Linked DNA regions of Caenorhabditis elegans. The protein of the gene in region 2 interacts with the protein of the main gene of each other region in a pairwise test. Each region holds a gene or a part of one and is shown on either strand. Other genes may lie near its edges.

Region 1 (4,196 bases), on a different chromosome or scaffold from region 2:
GGGAAGTGACAGGTCACCATCTCTCATGAAATTTAAAATCCTGTTAAAATGTTTCGGGGAGCGATCGATAAAAATGCATCCGGATTCGTCAAGTTCCAGCTGAAAATTTTCAAGTTTTCAAATCAGGTAAGAAATCAATATCATGAAACCCCTGTTCCAGATTCCAGCATAGTTTTAAAAATGCTATCGAGTTTCATTAATGTATCTTTTGAAGTTTTGAAAATAGTTCCGCCAACGTCTAGTTTAACAGTTTCACTCATTTTTGAAAAGTTTTTGAGAGGAAAAAGAGAGAAAAACGGAGTGAAATTGTGTTATCAGTGAGCCGATCGATTTTGAATTATCAGTGTTGCGAAATTTTGTTTTTTTTTTTACAAAAAAATCAAAAATGTTAAGAAATAAAAAAAAACTTCTGAATTGAAAATATTGTCAAAAAATCCACAAAATGAGTTAATTATCTCTTTCTCTGCTTCTCCAAATACAAATATTGACCAAACTCCCCAATCATTTTTTCTAATTTTTCCAAAAAAGTTGCATCCCGAATTATCCGTCCGCCTCGATTAATTCGAAGATTGTGCGGAAATTGACTATAATATCCATTCTCGGTAGATTTCCACTTTATCCTAGCTTTCCATTTTCGAGAAGGTTCGTCTTCACTCAATCGCTCTTAATCGATTACGGTAATCAGACCCTTTCACATTCAAACATAGTTTTGAATAATCCATCACATTTTATTAATGTCGGTCTTGAAGTTTTAAAAATAGTTCCGCCGATGTCTAGTTTAACAACCTTGTTCATATTTTAAAATAGTTACGGTTTGAGGCACAGATGCAACCAAACTCAAAAAATAAAAATAAGAATGTTTGTTATCAATCAGACTTTGAACTTATCCATGTGTTTTGTGTTTAAAGATAAAAAAACAAGCTTACTAAATTATAATTTTTTAAGCTTCTAAATTAGAAATATTGTCGAAAAATCCATAAAATAAGTTAATTATCTATTCCTCTGCTTCTTCAAATACTCATCAAACTCCCCGATCATTTTTTCCAATCGTTCCAAAAATGTTGCATCCCGTATTATCCGTCCACCTCGATTAATTCGAAGATTGTGTGGAAATTGACTGTAATATCCATTCTCAGTAGGTTTCCATTTTATCCTTGCTTTCCATTTGCGAGAAGGTTCGTCTTCACTCAATCGCTCTGAATTGACTATTTTATGAGGATAATGTACAAAAAACTTACGAAAATAAATATCGAACTGATGTGAATACTTTTCCATGAACTCGTAAAGATTAAAGTTATAGGGAATCGACATATCATTCCCAACCATGCAAAATTCAATTATGAGCATTGGCTGTAAAAATTATATGTAGAGCTGAAATTTTTTGAAGAAACTGGTTAATTATTTTATGATTGACAAACGCCATACAGTGTGGCCTTACTATTAGGACTACAGCTTGCACTGGCCTATAGTTTAAGCCACGTCCTAGCCAGGGACTGTGGCCGATAATACAGTCATGGATTGCTCCACTCTCCAATACAGACTGGGTGAACCTAGGGGATGAGTCTAAACTTGAAACCGCAACCTCTAGCTTTCTAGCAGCTACCACTACCGACTGAGATATTCCTATGAATTTGAAAAACTACATTATTTTATCGAAACTCACCTTCTGTTGAACAGCAAGAATTTGAAGAAATTGTTCATCGCTTTCAATAAATCGAAGTTTTATCTTTGGAGCTTCAACAAGCTCAATCTTTGAATTGCACAACTCAATGAGTCCGTCGAGCAAATAGAATTGAGCTTCTACTAGCAGCTCCTTCAGTTTCAATTCACAATTGGGTAGAACCACGTCGCCGTCTCGCATAAAGTTCAGTATCAAGTCGAAATTTTTCGGAGACCGATCAATAAAAATACTCCCAGATTCGTCAATTTTTAGCTGAAAATTTGAAAATTTATCGGGAAATTTTTGGAAAAATCGGACCCCAATGTCACTCTCCAACATAGTTTTGAAAAATCCATTGAACTTTGTTAATGTAGATCTTGAAGTTTTGAATATAGTTCCACCAACGTCCAATTTCACAGTTTCACTCATTTTCGAAGAGTTTTCTAGGGGAGAAAAAGAGAAAGATGGAGTAAAATTTTGTTATCAGTTATAAGATTATCGATCAGTACATATTTCAAAATGATTTTTTTTAACAAAAATTAAAATTTCCAACAACTAAAAAAGATAACATTTATTTCTTTTTTCAACAATAAAATAGCCTTTTAGTGCAGGCATGTAATACACAAACACTAAAACCAAAAAAATTATTGAAAAAACAAAAAACCATGATAAATCATATTTTTTAGTGTTTGCTCTTTGATCAATTTGGACCTTTTTTGTAGAATTAAGTTTATCACAGCACATTAAGACTAGACCATCCAACCAGTAGAATTGAGCTTCTGCCATCAATTCTCTCAGCTCTCTTTCATCTTCTGGCAGTGGCAGATCACCATCTCTCATTAAATTCAGAATCAATTCAAAGTGTTTCGGGGACCGATCTATGAAAATGCATCCGGTTTTTTCAATTTTCGGCTGGAAATTTTCACGTTTTTTTTTGGAAAAAAACAACGATTTTCATACCCCAGTTTTGCATTCCAACATAGTTTTGAAAAAGCTATGGAACTTTGTTAATGTATCTTTTGAAGTTTTGAATATAGTTCCGCCAACGTCTAGTTTAATAATTTCACTCATTTTTGGAGAGTTTTTGAAAAAAATTGTAGAGGAGAAAAAGAGGAAAGTGAAATGAAGGTTTGTTATCAGTGAGTCGATCGATTTGAAGTTATCAGTGTTTTCAATTGATTTTTTTCCATACTATAATAGGTTTACGTTCGGGTCTGTTCACATTTCTATGATAGCATAATACAATGAAAATTGCGTTTAATAGCCACTAAAATAGGTAGCATTTACTAGATTTTTCAACAATAAAATAGCTTTTTAGTGCAGGGATGTAATACACAAATACCAAAAAAATTAATGAAAAAACAAAAAAACGAGTATAACTATTATTTTTAGTTATTGGTTTTTGATTTTGAATCATTCGGAAGTTTATTATAGTGCTAAGTTTCACACCGCACTTATTGTACAGTCCAAACATCTGATAGTAATTTGCTTCCGCACACAACTCTCTCAATTCCTTCTCAGTTTCGGGCAACCACAGATTCCCATCTCTCATTAAGTTCAGAATTAACTCGAAGTGTTTCGGGGAACGATCAATAAAAATGCATCCGGATTTTTCGAGTTTCGGCTGAAAATGTTCAGGTTTTTGGAGAAATATAGTCAGCAACATTATACCGCAATATCACTTTCAAACATAGTTTTAAAAAAGCTATCGAGTTTCGTTAATGTATCTTTTGAAGTTTTGAATATAGTTCCACCAACGTCTAGTTTAATAATTTCGCACATTTTTTGGAGAGTTTTTAAAAAAATTGTGGGGAAGAGAAATGAAGAAAGTGAGATGAAGTTTTGTTATCAGTAAGTCTATCGATTTGCAATTAACAGCCATTTTTATATTTTTAACAAATTTTAGGAAATAGTGGCGGTGGAGTTTTTTTCAAGACATGTATAGAAAACTTTCCGATTTCCGCTTTTGCAAATTGTGCAAAATTTCTGAAGGAATTTTTATAAGAAAAAACGGATGACACATATTTTTGACATTTTTTCTCGTTTTCAGCAAGAATTCTAATATATTTTTTCTCATTTTTCATGTAAGATACGTGTAATTTTGCAGTTACAACTGAAATTTCAAAATTTCCAATAAAAAATGCAATACCTCAGTCGAAATTTTTCGGCAATTGAAGTTTTTGGCAGCTTCACAAAAAATTGAAAAATTTCCCATATTTTTTGAAACCAGCAGTTTCCGAAGATTCCAATTGCCAAAAATTTTCAAAACACTACAGTTTAAAATTGGGGTTATAACTTCATTTTTTTTTGTTTTTATAATCATACAGTGTGGGAAAGTTCTATAGGACCCCCCCTAATTTGAAGGTTTGAGGAACTTCCGAAAATTTTTTCGAAAAACTGCTAATGCCGTTCGTTTTTAAATTGAAAAAAACCTATATAAATTTTTTTCCAGAAGTTTATCTCAAAAACTGAGGTCGCGCTGGAAAAAACGTCAAAATCCAGTGTGAAACTTCTATAGGACCCCCCGTTTTTTTTC
Region 2 (5,355 bases):
GTGATTTTGGATTATAAGATTATTTAGACAAAATTCCCACTGGCGCTACCCCAAAAAGTTTCTAAAAAGTTGATTGCCCATTTTTATAGTTTTCAGTAATAAATTTCAAACTTTATATTCAACAGCCTAAAGCCAAAAAAAAATTGAATATTAACTGAGCTTTAAAGTAGAGTTAACCTTTTAACCGGAAAATTCAATAAAAAGTTCAATCAAATTTCGAAACTATTAAATCTTTCTCGTGATTTCTCAAGTTTCACCGTTAAATTCCTTATCAATTTGCAGTTGTTTCGTTTTTTTCTACTTTTGCTTGATTCATTGTCATAGTCAGTAACATAAACGAAATAGTGAGATATAAAGAGATTTCATTGTGAAGGAAAAGGAAAAACCAATTCCTATATGTATTTACTTCCTGGTTCTTTCTTATTGATTTTTCATTTCTATGAAATAAATGCAGTAGCAGTTTTTTTTTAATTCTTTTAAGAAAAGTCGAACTTTGATTCAATTTATCAATAAAAGCAAACTTCAAAAAAAATCATTAGAAAAAAACCAACAAAACTGATGAGTAAAATGACATCGGTTTAAACAGGGCGCTCTTCTCTTCTTGCATGTAACCCGTTATTTCGCCTATTTCGTTTTCTCTGCGTTCTCTCATAACAAATGGCGTATCTATTGACGTTTAGAGCTGTGAAAGAATGAGAGCAGGCAGTGCCAAGCGACACGGGTTCCAAAATATTTTGAAAAATGTGAACAAAGGTATTTTTTTTGCGTGAAAATTAGCCGCTACTAAAAAATTGAAATATAAACACTTCTTGGCACATCGTCTTTATTTATGCTTTAGCGTACAGAGTATTAAACGGGATCACAAAATGGGCTGCTTTAGGGCTTCGGATAAATATCAAAAAGGTCATTAAAAATATACATATACAACAATTGGCCAGGATCAGATAGTTCAGGGTGCATAAAACATTTTACTGGATGCTGCAGCTCTTCTTCTTCTTCTGAGTTGGATAGTAGGCATTCTGTCCATCAGAGGTTTGAGTGTAGCCGCCTTGCTGGTTCGCATCATATCCGGCGTTTCCGTATTGATCTTGAGATGGGCCTTGTTGGTTGCCCGCGTTTCCATAGTTGCTCTGATTTGGATTGTATGATGGGTATGGAGGAGCTTGTCCTTGACCACCTGAAAACAATATTTTATGATTTTGAACATTACACGCTACTATGCCTTGATTTCCGTAATTGTTGGATGGGTATGGTTGGTTGGATGGGTTAGAAGGATACGGCGGATTTCCAGACTTCTCATCCAGAGATGGGTATGCTGGCGGCGCTGGGTTGTATGTGGAATACGCTGGTGGATGACTAGCTTTCTCAAGACCAGAAACACGGAGGATGCGAAGATGTGTTCCGTTTGGTGGCATTCCTGGAAGCGGTTGATCAAAGTCTCCCCAGACGTAAATATTTCCAGAGTGACACGCAGTGAGGCGAGGCTCGATAAGTGGGCACGGCATCTGAGATGGAATCTGAAGCCACTGGAATGTTTGAGTATTGAGAACCCAGTAATCCAAAAGACGCTCGAAACCGCTGCCACGGTCAACCTCTCCTCCGGCCATCAGAATTGCATCTGCAAGAAAATTCAGTTGTTATTTGTCGTTAACTGATATTTACAATTAAAACTCACTAGTAACAGAATCAAATCCACACTGCTTTCTCGGGATCGGCATTCCACGCTGTGGATCTCCAGAGCAATTTTGCGATGTTATCTGAAATATCTAATAGTATACTGGTTGGCTCTCCAAATTGACTAACGTGTTGAGGACTGTTCAAATTGAGGAGATGAACGCGAGTGTTGTCGAAATGACCATCAGGGGTTGCAGACAAAAAGACGATGTTGCCATTGTTAAGGAATCCATCGTAGAAATGGTTCAAGTCGGCGCCGGGGACTGTGAACTGGGCGACAGGTGGCTGAGACGATTCGGCCATGCAGTTGATGCGCCAAATCTGAAAAAAAAATCTTAAGTTGCTGCATATGCAATTATGAATGCGAAAATATGCATTTTAGTTAAACTTTCCATTACGATTGGCCTATTCGAATGAAAGTTGTTGGGTATCAACGTGTATTTCCCCACGACGTGGCTAAGAAAATCGTACAACGTGAGCTCTCTAACTAACTTATTTATTCCTTACAATTAGTTTAGTACTAATATAATAAACTACTCGTCTTCTCCTCCTCGTTCCTCCTTCAGTCCTCGTCCTGCCGCTGAGGACGTCCTGCTGAAAAGACATCCTCCCTAACAGGCATAATCATTTCCTATAGTCAAGTACTACAACTTTGCCCATCCAAAAAGGTAATAGAGAAATTCCAGTGGTTGTAATACTCGATGTTTTACAACCATCTAGAAGATCGCTTACTTATAATAACATAACAAAGGATTTAAGCACACAAAAGAATCGAACCCGCGACCTTGAGCACATAAGCCATCTACGCAAACCACTCGGCCACCAGGAACGTTAAGTGTTCGGACCACCAAAGTTTACAAAACAGGAGGCGGAAGCTACCTGCGTGGCCCTAATTTGGCAATCACTTCATAATTAAGAATAAACAGTCAAACGCGCAGACTACCCGGAAACAGGTGACGTTGAGATATCGAAGTGTAGTGACCCACGACGTGGCTAAGAAGATCGTACAACGTGAACTCTCAAACTATTATTCATTAGTAATGTAATAAACTACTCGTCTTCGCCTCCTTGTTTTGCCTCGAATACATAACAAAGGTGATAAATCAAATTCAAGCCAGGTGCTTGCCAGAAGCATATGCAATCAGGCTCCGCACTCATTTCTCACCTGAAGCCCTGGATTCGCCATAACCACAATTTCTGGAAGATCTTCACGCATTGAGCAGATGTACTCTCCACCAATAGTCAATGCCTGGGGAATTAAAGGCCGAACATTGGCGATTGAAAGTCCGTCTTGGGCCAAATCGATTCGAGAAACGTTAAGACGAATTTGTCCGTAGACTTCTTCCTCCGTGACGAGAACGAAAGCAGAGCCGCCTTGTGGAGATGGGCATTTAAGAGCGAAGAGGAACTTCATTTTTCCTGAAAAAAAAGTTGAAAATCATTTGTATTGCAAAACGGTAAAAAAAGAATACCTGGACTGTGAACAGGAATCTCTCCAGCAAAGCATTTGAAGTTGGTATCAAAGATGATCAATCCTGGGTATCCTTTTCTCTGTCCACTTGTTCCACTTTGCTCGTCGGCCTGTGGATCGTAGAGGAAGTAGAGCTTTGAGCCATCAATTGACTCCTGCACATCTTGGAACACTGCCATGCGCCATTTTCCGTACTGAGAGTCGAGAGGATGTGGGGCTTGTCCCCAGGCGACAGTGATGTCCTCACTGTTTACTTGCATTCTGGAAGATTAAAATGTTCGTGTTGAAAATCAAAAAGTTGGAAAATAACAAAGCAAAGACAAGGAAATCATCGGACAAAAGGGGTCAACCGACGTAATCAGAATGATAATGGTCAAAAACTAAATTCAAAATCTAAACAGCCCTCTTTTCGACGAAAAACTGGTTCCCCCAGCCAGCCAGCCAGCCACGACCTAAAACAGACGACGTGCGCCGAAAAACTGAAGAATAAACGACGAGAGAAAAATAGGAAAAGGCACGATGAGTCAGCATGTTGTTGTGTTTGTGTGTGTGTGTGTGTGTGTGTATGTGTTGTGCGCGCTCAATTATTAGAGCGCACTTGCAATTGTTGCCTATCGATCCCTTTAATGCCTTGTGCTTAAAACAAAACACCTTGATAGAACGACATCTGTGAAACAAACATTATTGGAACGTGGAATTATTTTTCAGAAAAAAGAACACTAAAGTTTTGTCCAACTGAGAGATTTTCGATCAAAAGATGATCACTGCGGGTTACCGAGGAAAAAGAAAAATGATGTCATTGTTTGCCGGGAGATGGAGGAGGGTGCGAGGACGGAGGAGATATTTTGCTAGGGGAGAAAAGTCTAGAAAGTTTCATAATAATCTGATTTCGAAAGGCTTGAATAACGTGTATAAATTTCATTTCAAAAGGTTTACTGGCAAAATACTATAGTGAAATAGAGGGAAAACATTATTTCTTTCAATAAAATACACTGCGTTGTGAACATATTGAAAGAATGTTAAATGTAGAATAAATGAAAAATCATGAATAAAACGTACTGACTTTGTGTTGGAAAATAATACCTTCAAAAAATATTTGTAAAAATTTAAATGTAAACGCATTTTATTTATCAGTTTCTCAAATTTAACCCTTTTTCTGTAGAGAATGATGGATTGCCAAAGATGAACACACTTAAAAAGTTTAAAATTTTAGAAGCTTGAATATTTAAGAGTAGTGTGCAGAAAGCACAATCATTTCACGAGTTTTGGTAGTAGATACGCATTTGACTGTGCTATGTGGGACTTTAAGTAGGTGGGACCTAAAGTAGGACTTTGAAAAGTTCAAAAGCTATCTAAAAATCTAACCATTTGTTGACTATCTTTTTTAAAAAGTGAACTAGCATGTTTTTGCAATTTGTCCTCTTGCAAGCTTGTTAGTTTTTGCCACAGTCAATATAAAACAAAACACTCGTATTGACACTGTACTTTTAAAACACATGCATAGTAACATTATCAAAACACCTCACAAAAATAACATTTGAAATCGAACATTTTTAAAATATATAATATGTTTTCAAACAACCAAAAAACTTTGAAATACACATTCATAAATATTTATTCCGTTATCACTACATCATGTCTAATAAATTTTTGATACCACAGGCAAAATAAAGTGATTTTTTTCAAATATGAAGTATTCCCGAGAGACTACTTACAGTAAGAGGAAAGCTAGTACCCAGTTTTTACAACATTTTGCAAAAAGTGAAAACCCAGCAAAATTATGACGTATAATTATAATCACATGAAAGGAAAGCATCGTTAGTTTTATTTTTATTTTTTGGAGAATTATGCATCGGGAAGTGGACGAAGAGCGTAAATTGCCAGCTTGACTGCTTTTGCACATTCACCAGCTTTTGGAACATATAATCTGAAACAATATACGGTTTTCAATAAAAACTGATATAAATTCTTACTTGTGAACAGCAGTAATTTTTGAGGACCCATTCATCTCGTAGCCCAACTTAAAGGTGAGCATCTCAGGAACACTCCGGCGACTTGTCACAGCGACAACAGTGGAAAGAGCGTGGCGGGCTTCAGTTGTGACGTATCCTTGTTTTCCTGGTACATCATGAAGCACGTAAATGTGTGTACGGGTGAGTGCAATGTGGCCGTTGATGCTTCCATCACGGAATACTTCTTGGCACTCGAAA

Evidence for each region.
Region 1: the proteins of F20D1.3 (region 2) and ZC239.15 interact in a two-hybrid assay, tested with the Caenorhabditis elegans proteins (one large-scale study listed by BioGRID).

Annotation. Positions count from the first base shown.
Region 1 is NC_003280.10:3,222,555-3,226,750, forward strand, and holds ZC239.15 (BTB domain-containing protein), read right to left. Parts: upstream 2,178-4,196; 5' UTR 2,090-2,177; coding exon 1,979-2,089; intron 1,934-1,978; coding exon 1,664-1,933; intron 1,351-1,663; coding exon 1,239-1,350; intron 1,197-1,238; coding exon 991-1,196; 3' UTR 779-990; downstream 1-778. Other genes in the region: ZC239.13 (BTB domain-containing protein), read right to left, coding at 1-99, 150-260; ZC239.16 (BTB domain-containing protein), read right to left, coding at 2,216-2,572, 2,621-2,731; ZC239.17 (Potassium channel tetramerization-type BTB domain-containing protein), read right to left, coding at 2,928-3,326.
Region 2 is NC_003284.9:14,974,168-14,979,522, reverse strand, and holds F20D1.3 (Protein Skeletor), read right to left. Parts: upstream 3,407-5,355; 5' UTR 3,406-3,406; coding exon 3,147-3,405; intron 3,094-3,146; coding exon 2,840-3,093; intron 2,405-2,839; exon of another isoform or gene 2,345-2,404; intron 1,996-2,344; coding exon 1,804-1,995; intron 1,758-1,803; coding exon 1,676-1,757; intron 1,619-1,675; coding exon 1,223-1,618; intron 1,178-1,222; coding exon 969-1,177; 3' UTR 810-968; downstream 1-809. Other genes in the region: tbc-1 (TBC1 domain family member 23), read right to left, coding at 4,991-5,072, 5,119-5,355.